3 linked regions of the Oryzias latipes genome follow. The protein of the gene in region 1 purifies or fractionates together with the protein of each later gene. This does not show direct contact. Links are inferred from orthologs where the notes say so. Each region holds a gene or a part of one and is shown in the gene's direction. Other genes may lie near its edges.

Region 1 (3,566 bases):
AAACTCAATTCAGGAAAAGGTTTTGTCTCCAAATCTTGGTTTTAGTCTGGATTTCTGTGAAGTATTTAGCCTGTCTGTGGGGTGAAGGTTCTTAAACTCCACAGACATCACACTGACCTCCAAAGCAGCAGCTTCTTCTCCGGTTGATGATGGTTTCAGCCGTCTTCGTCTTTCTTCATCTCTCCCATCATTCAAAGGTTTCCTGGATGTGACGTCCTCCTGACACGTTAAAGGAAAACACACTGATTTGTGCTGATCAGGACTCTAGCCTGTCTTCTGCCTGACAGACAGAGCTCAGGGCACAGCAGGGATTGGTTTACATCCTAGGCCGTCCAAATATGGGGAATCTGAATATTATGGGCGTGTCAGATGTTTGGAGGGAAGGGCGTCTGATTGGACCTGCTGTATTTGCTCTTTAATAGATGATCAGCAGTTCGAGTACGGCGAGGACCTCGGGGTGACCGCTGTGGCGCTGTACGACTACCAAGCAGGTGAGGAGGAGGAGGATTCCGTTCTCAGCGGTTGACTTCAGCTGCACCTTCAGGGTCTGAAGCCGACAGCCCAGAGAAAAAGACGAGCTCTGTCTGACACATCAGGGTTCTGTTTGAACTCCTTCAGAGGCTAGAATGTCTTTCTTTTTGGAATCTAAGGGTGTGTTCAGACTGGACACGTTTGGTTCCCTAAGTGAACCAGAATTCGCTTTTCCAGATAATCTGGAACAAGTTTTCAGTCTGAATCCACCCAAGAGGACTCTGGTCCAGGACCAGGAACCGCTCTGTGACCCACCTTTGGAGGTGGTCTGGGTTCGTTTCCAATCAGATTCCTCAGCCTGAATACAATCCGTCCTCGGAGCGGAACATCTGGACCCACCGGGCCACCGTAGCCGACCTTAAAACGCTTCTGACAGGCTTTTCTGTGTGGTTACGGCCGACAAACGCCGCTGTGACGTCATCCTAAAAGTTACCTTGTAGTTCCTGAACAGAATTCTTCAAATCGACGCCATAACTGCACAACGATGAGATGCAGAAACTCATTCAGACTATTGGAAGGTGATCCACATCACTTCTCACCGTTTTCCTGACTGTCAGAAACACATTCGTGTTCTTCTGTCCGTCACCGTCCTGCAGCCTGACGTTGATGCAGACGTTCACATCTGTCAGTGAATCTAAAGTCTGAAGGAACTGAAAGTGCAGGACTTCCATCATTTCTGTCTCTGGTTGCTTTGCCCCGCCCTCCTAACTCCTGACCAATGAGTGAAGAGGTCTGCAGTCACATGGTTTTGTTGACAAGCTTTAGTCTGGAACAGAAAGGCTGCCTGACAGCCGTCTGAATATAGACCCAAGACAAGGTTCAGGACTCGATCCGGGTCAGAACCAAACGCTTCTCCGGTCTGAACACAGCCTACTACTCCTTTTTTAGAAAGCTAAAATTAGATGAAACTCCTGTAATTTATTTCCGTTTCTTTATCTCGACCTTCAAAATGCGAGAATAGGATTAAAGAAAATACCTTTTTGGAGGCGGAGTCTGTTTCCAGTGTCTGCAGATGGTTTTCTAACATCCATGTTTTCCGTCTCAGCTGGTGACGACGAGATCTCCTTCGACCCCGATGACATCATCACGAACATTGAGATGATCGATGAAGGCTGGTGGCGTGGCGTGTGCCGAGGAGCCTACGGCCTCTTCCCCGCCAATTACGTGGAGGTTCGGCAGTAAGGAGCGGCGGAGGGCCAGCCCCTCCCCCGGAGGCGGAGCCTCTGCCGCGGTCTTCCCTCCCTTCAGCTCATGTTCGTGATTGGACACAGAGAGACGTCGTCGCTCCTTTTCCCGCCTCAGACCGGCTTTCAGGTCAGGCGGCCTCCGATCTGTCATTCAAGTCATTCCACAGGTTTAGCCCCCCCTGCATCAGCGCGCGTTTATTACCCCCCCCCCCCCCCCCCCCCCCCCCCCCCCCCGGTGCAATCTTCACCAAAGAGTTGGAGTTGGTTTAAAGAACAGCAGAAGAACGGTTCTGCTGAGAGGTCCAGAGCGTCCTTCCTAGCTTCTGTCCGCCTGCGTCTCCTGCGCCGTCTGCGTCGTCTGCGCCGTCTGCGTCGTCTGCGCTCCGTGCTCGAACCCTCCGCAGGAATCCCTCGTCTCCGGCTGCTTCTGTGTTTTCTGGATGTGAGGCTGCCGCCGGCGTTGAGCAGATCCCGCGTGGATCCCGGCGATGTTCGGGACCCGCGCTCATCCTGAGTCCGCCTCGCCGCAGTGCAGCTGAAACATCCGCTCATCTTTGGGGAAACGGATTTAAAAAAGTGACCTTTTTCAAACGTTTGATCTGAAACACCTCTCTGCTTCAGTTTCATCATTATCTGCTCTTTTTTTTTAAAGTTTCAATAAATAAACGGAATAATATTTTTTCTGTGCTTCATTTGAACAAAGTGAGATATTAAAATAATCTGAAATGAAGATGAGGGGGAGGGGCTTATGGCGTCTTTAACTTTATGTACATCCATATTTTTTTACTTGTTGCTTCCTTTCCCCTAAAATGCTGTTTCTTTCAAGCCCGTGAGCAGAAGATGCTTAACTGTAAAGCAGAGCATGAACGCAGAAAACACGACGCCATTTATGATGTTCAGATCCGAATTCTAGGAAAATGTTTGGATGTTTAATGCACTTTCACTGTCTGAATTATCAAAAGAAAGCTGATATTTGATGTTTTGGAGCCTCAAATGTCCAAACGCAGCTGCTAAATGCAAAGGTTTTTCCAAACGGATCCCTTTTAAGATGCGTTTAGACGTTCCTGCTTTCAGGAAGCCAGCAGCAGTTCTGATCTGTCTTCATGTTAACGTCTGAGCACAAAAACATTCAAAGTCTCTTCATTCGGTTAGTTTGGATCCTTTAAAGACCCACTCTGATGGAAAAATGTTTGTAAAATGTTCTTGTCCCATTTTCTTCTCATGGTTGACACACACATATATACATAAAAGGATTAAAATTGCATTTGTATTTGTTTTCATGCTAATTGTTAATCAGAAGCCGACGGTAATCCGTTCTGATCAACAGATCCATGAACGTCTGTGTTTTCCTGGTCTGAGCTGGAGTCTGGATCAGAACCGGACGGCTGGATGGCTCTGACGTTGCTCATCACTTTCTGTTGCACCGCTAATATAGAGACCGTGTCCCACAGCCACTACGTACATGTTTCACATATTTCACGGATGGAAACTGGTCATACGTGAAAACGGAACAATGGTGGTTCTTTGGGATATTTTCACAGATGTTTCACATTAAAACATTAAAACCACGGAACACGTAGAACACGTAACCCCGCGCTGCATTGAGCTTCTTTACTCTGAGCAGAAATCACGTCAGCACCATGGTCAGCGCCCGCCGCCGGCCCCTCGCCACGCTTTACTCAGTTGGATTCTTCTGATCCAAACTAGTTCTGAGTCAGCTGCTGGCCGAGCCGGACGGGGGGAGCGGAAGACCCCTACTCGGTATAGACTGCTGGAGGGGGAAAAAAAATAGACCAATCACACTTGAACCGTGTGCGAGTTGTGCGTCAATTAGGCCTTTTTGACATA
Region 2 (2,375 bases), on another chromosome or scaffold:
TGTGTTCGGGGTAACTGGGTAAACTACAACTGTTCTCCAACCCTCAAGGAACCGCATGCGAGTTTGTGGTAAACACCAGCACTGCGGGCCCCGGCGCCCTGGCCGTGACCATCGACGGGCCCTCCAAGGTGAAGATGGACTGCGTGGAATGCCCCGAGGGTTACAAAGTCACATACACCCCAATGGCGCCAGGCAACTATCTAATCTCCATCAAATATGGCGGCCCTTACCACATCGTGGGAAGCCCCTTCAAAGCCAAGATCACAGGTGAGGAAAGGGGTTTCTTCCTGGAACTTAAACTCAAATGCTTAGAAAAAATCATTATTTATTCTTCTTCAGGTTCCAAGCTGGTTTCCAGCCACAGTATGCACGAAACCTCCTCAGTCATGGTCGACCCAGTGACCCGAGCAATCAGCTGCTCTCAGCAGGGAGCTCCTGTCCACTCAGATGCCAGCAAGGTGGTGGCTAAAGGTCCGGGCCTGACCAAAGGCTTCATCGGTCAGAAGAACAACTTCTGTGTGGACTGCAGCAAAGCAGGTGAGTGCTGAATAGACGACATACTTTATTTCTTTTAGCATAGTCGTATAATCTGAAACTTCAGTGGTCTGGATGGAAAATATTTTTGTAAATGCAAAAAAATTTTTTTTAAACGTGAACCTCTCTGCACTTAGCCTTGAACAGTTTTTTTTTTTTTCTGAAAAAAAAATTAAGGTTTACAAAATGATACTCGAGTGACTTGCCTCAGTTCAATAAAGGATAATTAGGATTTAGTGATAGACAGAAAGGAAAACCGGTTTTAAGACGTGCACAGCAGAACATTCATGGTAGCAAACTGATGTTTTTTTATTTTTTATTGGCTTCACTTTGAATATTCAACATTTTTTTTTAAGTCTCTGAATTGCTTTTTGGCTTCATTGCATGTGTGAAACTTTATTTTCAGTAGTTTTTCTTCAAAACCTGAAAAAAGTCTTTGTCTAAACTTTAAAAATAAATTATCAAAGATGGTTGAAAAATTATTGACTTGATGCATAAACTTTCTTTAATCCTTGCCTGGGGTCAAATTGCAAAAGAAGCTTAATCATTTTCAACATTTTAATACTTTTGGAGCATGCATATGTTTTCTTTTTACAGCATGACAGAAAACCAGTCCATCATAGTTGAAGGTATTGCTGGAAAGCAATGTATAAATATAACTGTTTTTTAGATTTTAAACAGGAATTAAATGGTTATTTTCCCCTTTAAATCAAACTGTCAAAAACACAACACTCGTCTTTGGTATCATTCGTCTGCAGATAATAAAGAGCTGGTAATGTAGAACCTCCAGATGACAAAAAACAGAAGATGAAGAATCAAATGCAAATGTGTAGTTTTTTTAAATGATAAATTGAAGTGATAAATTCCTTAATTGAAGAAACTGTTTTGATGTAAATAGAGGAAGCTGGAAGTGGGTGATGTCCCTCAACATTAACATTTCTCAAATGTTTGTAGTAAAGTGGTTTCCCTGCGTCTTTCCTTCAGGTCGTAACATGCTCCTGGTCGGCGTGGATGGTCCCAAGGTCCCCTGCGAGGAAATCCTAGTGAAGCATTTGGGCAACCGGGTGTACAATGTGAGCTACCAGCTGAAGGAGAAGGGGGAGTACATCCTGGTGGTGAAATGGGGAGACGAGCACATCCCCGGCAGCCCCTACCACATCACCGTCTAAAGCCACAGATCATAACTTACCACTGTTCCAAACGACTGAATCTTGTCCTGCCTGTTGTCGTTTACAGACCGCCGCCGCCGCTCTAAGTTTCAGATTCAGCTTTCCTGTTTTGATAGAACTATTTAAAACCAACTTCAGATGGGTTTTTAATCAGTTGTCACTACACTTGTTTCATTCTGCTCTTCACAACAATCGGAAGACTTTAGGGAGAGAAAGATGCACCTTTTTTATTACTGTAAAGTAGCACTCGGCTGTTCTTCCCTCCACACTTCCCACCTTCAGTGGGCGTTGGATTAGATCCGTCTGGATTGGAGCAGAACTTCGGGATAGAAGAACACGTGTAGGTGGTGGGGCCCTGCTTTGGCTGGAAGGTTAATATTTACTGTAGCTTCCCTGTGATGAACAGATCCACCAGTTTTAGGAGCTTCATGCTTTCCTTAGATTTTATTGGATTGTTGAAAGGTCGTCTTCTGTCGCTTGTGGAGTCTTGCATGTTCAGTGACTGCTTGCTCTCCCCAGCATGTGGTGTTCATGACGATCTTTAACTAACCTGGTTGTTTATTTGCTGCTAAGTGTGACCCAGTTGTTGCCTCTGCTGTTCTGATGAGGAGGAGGAGGTGTGGAAAAGTTTGAACACAGGAGGAAGGCTCGTAGTGCTTTGTTGCAGCTGTG
Region 3 (3,657 bases), on another chromosome or scaffold:
TCAATGAGGTAAAATTTGGTGAGGAGGCCGGTGTGATCCAGAAAAAACATCCTCTGGACTCGACACGTTGATAAAAGTGGACTTTTTTCATAGAGTTCTAGTTTTGAGTCAACTTATCACTCTCATGTCCCCTCCAGCCCAGTCCCATCAAGAAGGACCGCTCCCCGAGGCCTCAGAGCTTCTGCCACTCCTCCAGCCTCTCCCCCCACGACAAGCTCTCCCTGCCGGGCTTCATCAGCCAGAGGGACAAGCAGCAGCGCCTGTCCTACAGCGCCTTCACCAACCAGATGTACAGCGCCTCCACCGACCTCAGCTCCTCCCCCGTGGCGGACGGGCCGCCACTGCCTCCCAGGAACCAGGGCAAAGGTCAGACACGCTGTGCAGGAGCGGGCGGCTGCGGTTTAAGTAACTGTCTGGTGGATCCAAACGTGCTGATGACAGGGAGATGCAAAAGAGAAGCTCTTGTGTTAGGAGAACACCTGGAAACCAGTACGTCTGTTAGTAGCTGCGGTTACATGGACAAAAGTAATCGGAGTAAACGCCTGATGGGAATAAAAATGCGTCATCTAAACACGCCGTCTGGAATATTCTGCCCCGATCAGACTCATTCGGATCAGAATTTCCTTCCGATTGAGGAGGGGGGTTATGCCGATGGTTGATCCGATCGTGGTGCATGTAAACAGTTCATTCCGATTGTGGGTTACTATGGCGCTGGCTTTTAAGTCAGGCATAGACGGTGTGGCGCTCCAGAGGAGGCTAACAGGACCGGCCGGCCGCACAGAATTAAAATAATTATAGGAGAACAGCCACTTAATAATAATCATAACAATAATAAATCTTTTTTTAATTTTTTTTAAAGTTGTCCTGTCCCACAGCTGAGCAAACAGATGAGAGCTGAAAGCCTCTTGTGTTGGACACATTTTACTGTTAAAACAGAGGTTATGAGTCTTCTGACATACCAGAGGTATATTTGAATAAACTCCTTTTGTAATTTAAGCTAAACTTTATTCATATTAATTGTATTTTACGGACGTTTCCGGTATTTTAGAGAGTTCTGCGCATGTCACGATGATTTATGCCGACCGAAAGTGTGGCGTACGTAAACGTTTTATTGTAATCGGATGCCATTATTTTGCAGTTCAATTCTGATACTCTGCACATGTAACCGCAGCGCATGTTTGATTATTTCAGGAGAGATTTCTAATGACTTTACTCCGGCTTCCATTACCACTAGCAGCAGCGGCGGAATGCAGTCTAGCTTACATAGCAAACTAAAGAAAACACGGCTGCAGGGCGGAGGGGGCAGTTGTGATTCGGTCATACGCCTTTATTAGCGTGGACGCAGAGAACACAGTGAGGGCGCTGACTCTGCAGTTCAGGTTAAAGACAACACTCCTCCATCACCCGAGACGATCGCAGAAAACACAGTTCCCAGTTACCTTAGCAGTTTTCCGACCTATCACAAATAAAAAGCACTCGGGCAGATCCAGCACAGATTTGTCCGTGCCCGTGCTCTGACAGGTGTCCTCGTTTTCTGCATTTTCAGAAAGCTTTGAGGTTGTAAACAGACAGATTGAGTTCTGTTATAGATGCACAGAAATATGAACATTTATTTAAAGGAAACTATGCTGGGTGTAGTGGCAACGCTTTATAATAAGATCCCTTAATAATCTAGTTATACGACATAAACATTTATTAGTAATGTGTTTGTAGACCTTTATTGGAAATTGATTAAGACATTAATTATTATTTAGGTCTTATTATAGGTGGTAATAAGATGCTTATAAAGAGATTTATTAGCATTTTTAAAGTCTTTATGTGGAATTTATAATATGTTTTTAAACATTTATAAAACATTTATAGGACAGTATAAATGATTTTAATCCCTTATAGGTGTCACCATAATGCTTAAAAATAAGTTTATTACTTGTAAAGTCTTAATAAAACATTAACAACTGTTAGTAATGTGTTTATAAGCCTTCATTGGACATTTTTTAAGACATGTAATAACATTTGTAGATCTTCTACAAACATATTAGATGCTTATAGAACATTTATAGATGTTTTGTCCTACAGGTGGTAATAAGATGCTTATAAAGGCATTACTAATGCTTGTTCATGTCTTATAACCAGTAATCTGTTATCTGTTCGAATCGTGCTGCTCGGATGTGAATTTGTGACCTTCAGCGTAACAACCTGCAGTCTGGCCGGTCATTTACTTTCTCTCTGAAAGGAAGGCTGGCGATGGACAACCTTTGCAGCAGAGGGTTGCACGTGTAACCTTTGTTGATGAGAAAAGTTGTTGTTGTTGCTGTTTATTCTTGCTTCTATGTGTGTAAATCTAAAGCTTTGCAGGCCTGCCACTTCCAGTTGCAAAGCTGTACTGCAGTAAAAGAGTGGATAAAAACACGGATGACAGGCTAACTCTTCACGGCTCTGCATTGGCGCAGCTCAGTGCCGAGGAGCCGGCCCCCCCGGGGGCCAGCCTCACACCGTTTCCCCTTTTTTTTCTTTTTCTTTTTTGTCTTTTGCTTCACTTGTCACTGATAGAATCTCATCTTGTTATTTTTCCGGTGTGTGGGAGCAGCTCTTTCTGAGACTGACATGCTTGTAGATTGTCTCCCACACTCCTCATCTCGCTCTGTTTTCTTTCTCTTTTTTTGTTTCTCTATTCTTTCAGCTCCTCACTTGGCATTCCTTGGCTCTCATTCGCACTACGCCACACTGGCTGGCACTCGACCATACATCAGTGAATATCTTGTTTAAGTTCTCCCCTTTACCCCTCGGTTGTTTCCTTCTTTACAGCTCAGATGGACGGGGTGTTATTGAGACCTGAAGCTGTCTTTCTGAGATGATTTCAGTTTTTTAATGTATTTAGATTGACGACCCGCCATCTTTGAGCTGTAAACTCTTAGCCACAGCTGATACCTCTCTGGCTGAGCTCTCTGCTAGCTGCTTTCACCTTATCTTTCATAAATGACAAAAGTCGTCGGCAGACGTCCAGCGGACAAAGCCCTGCTCCTGCTGTCTGTCACTCCTCTTCCTCGGCACTCCCCCCTTTACCTGCTCTGGACGTGAAACTTTCTCCGTTTGTTTTGGACCTCACCGCCTCACCTGTCCTATGTGTCGCTCCTCCAGCTCCTCCCCCATCCGGCCCTCTCTCCACACTCACGACAGGAGGCAGCTCCACCCTGTCCAAGAAGAGACCTCCGCCCCCTCCTCCCGGACACAAACGCACCCTGTCTGACCCACCCGGCCCTCTCTGTCACAGTCCACACAGTAAAGGGGGCTTATCCGGGGGTGAGCCGCAAGCACACATGAGCAGCAGCCCCAGGAAGTAAAGTCTTCATAAAATTAGACCAAAAACTTGTTAGCATTTTCTAGGGCTGCACGATATGAGGAAAACGTGCGATATAGGTGGTCAATATTCCGATGACGATATAACTTGCGATAGATAAACAAATAGAAAAAAATCTAAATGCATCACTTCCATTTCACTGCAACAGTTTCTTTTTAATCAAAGTCAACATAACAAATTACACTCCAAATGACCCTCGTCTAGATTGGAGGCGGGCGTCTAACATCAAAGGGCTCCATCCGATTTATCAAATGCATAAAGGGATTTATGTGATACATTAAATACTTTAAGCTGCTATA

The links.
Region 2: the proteins of cttn (region 1) and filamin-A purify together in Homo sapiens (affinity purification with mass spectrometry; 3 studies listed by BioGRID and IntAct, with this or other methods). This does not show direct contact. The link is inferred for Oryzias latipes from reciprocal best matches to the Homo sapiens genes CTTN and FLNA.
Region 3: the proteins of cttn (region 1) and asap1 purify together in Homo sapiens (affinity purification with western blotting; 6 studies listed by BioGRID and IntAct, with this or other methods). This does not show direct contact. The link is inferred for Oryzias latipes from reciprocal best matches to the Homo sapiens genes CTTN and ASAP1.

The regions. Positions count from the first base shown.
Region 1 is NC_019861.2:2,175,469-2,179,034, forward strand, and holds the end of cttn (src substrate cortactin), read left to right. Parts: intron 1-117; exon of another isoform or gene 118-219; intron 220-419; coding exon 420-491; intron 492-1,507; exon of another isoform or gene 1,508-1,576; coding exon 1,577-1,713; 3' UTR 1,714-2,982; downstream 2,983-3,566.
Region 2 is NC_019865.2:4,665,177-4,667,551, forward strand, and holds the end of filamin-A, read left to right. Parts: intron 1-48; coding exon 49-267; intron 268-339; coding exon 340-537; intron 538-1,518; coding exon 1,519-1,703; 3' UTR 1,704-1,824; downstream 1,825-2,375. UniProt on the Homo sapiens protein: Promotes orthogonal branching of actin filaments and links actin filaments to membrane glycoproteins. Anchors various transmembrane proteins to the actin cytoskeleton and serves as a scaffold for a wide range of cytoplasmic signaling proteins.
Region 3 is NC_019878.2:21,063,645-21,067,301, reverse strand, and holds part of asap1 (arf-GAP with SH3 domain, ANK repeat and PH domain-containing protein 1), read left to right. Parts: intron 1-137; coding exon 138-366; intron 367-2,680; coding exon of another isoform or gene 2,681-2,749; intron 2,750-3,138; coding exon 3,139-3,300; intron 3,301-3,657. UniProt on the Homo sapiens protein: Possesses phosphatidylinositol 4,5-bisphosphate-dependent GTPase-activating protein activity for ARF1 (ADP ribosylation factor 1) and ARF5 and a lesser activity towards ARF6.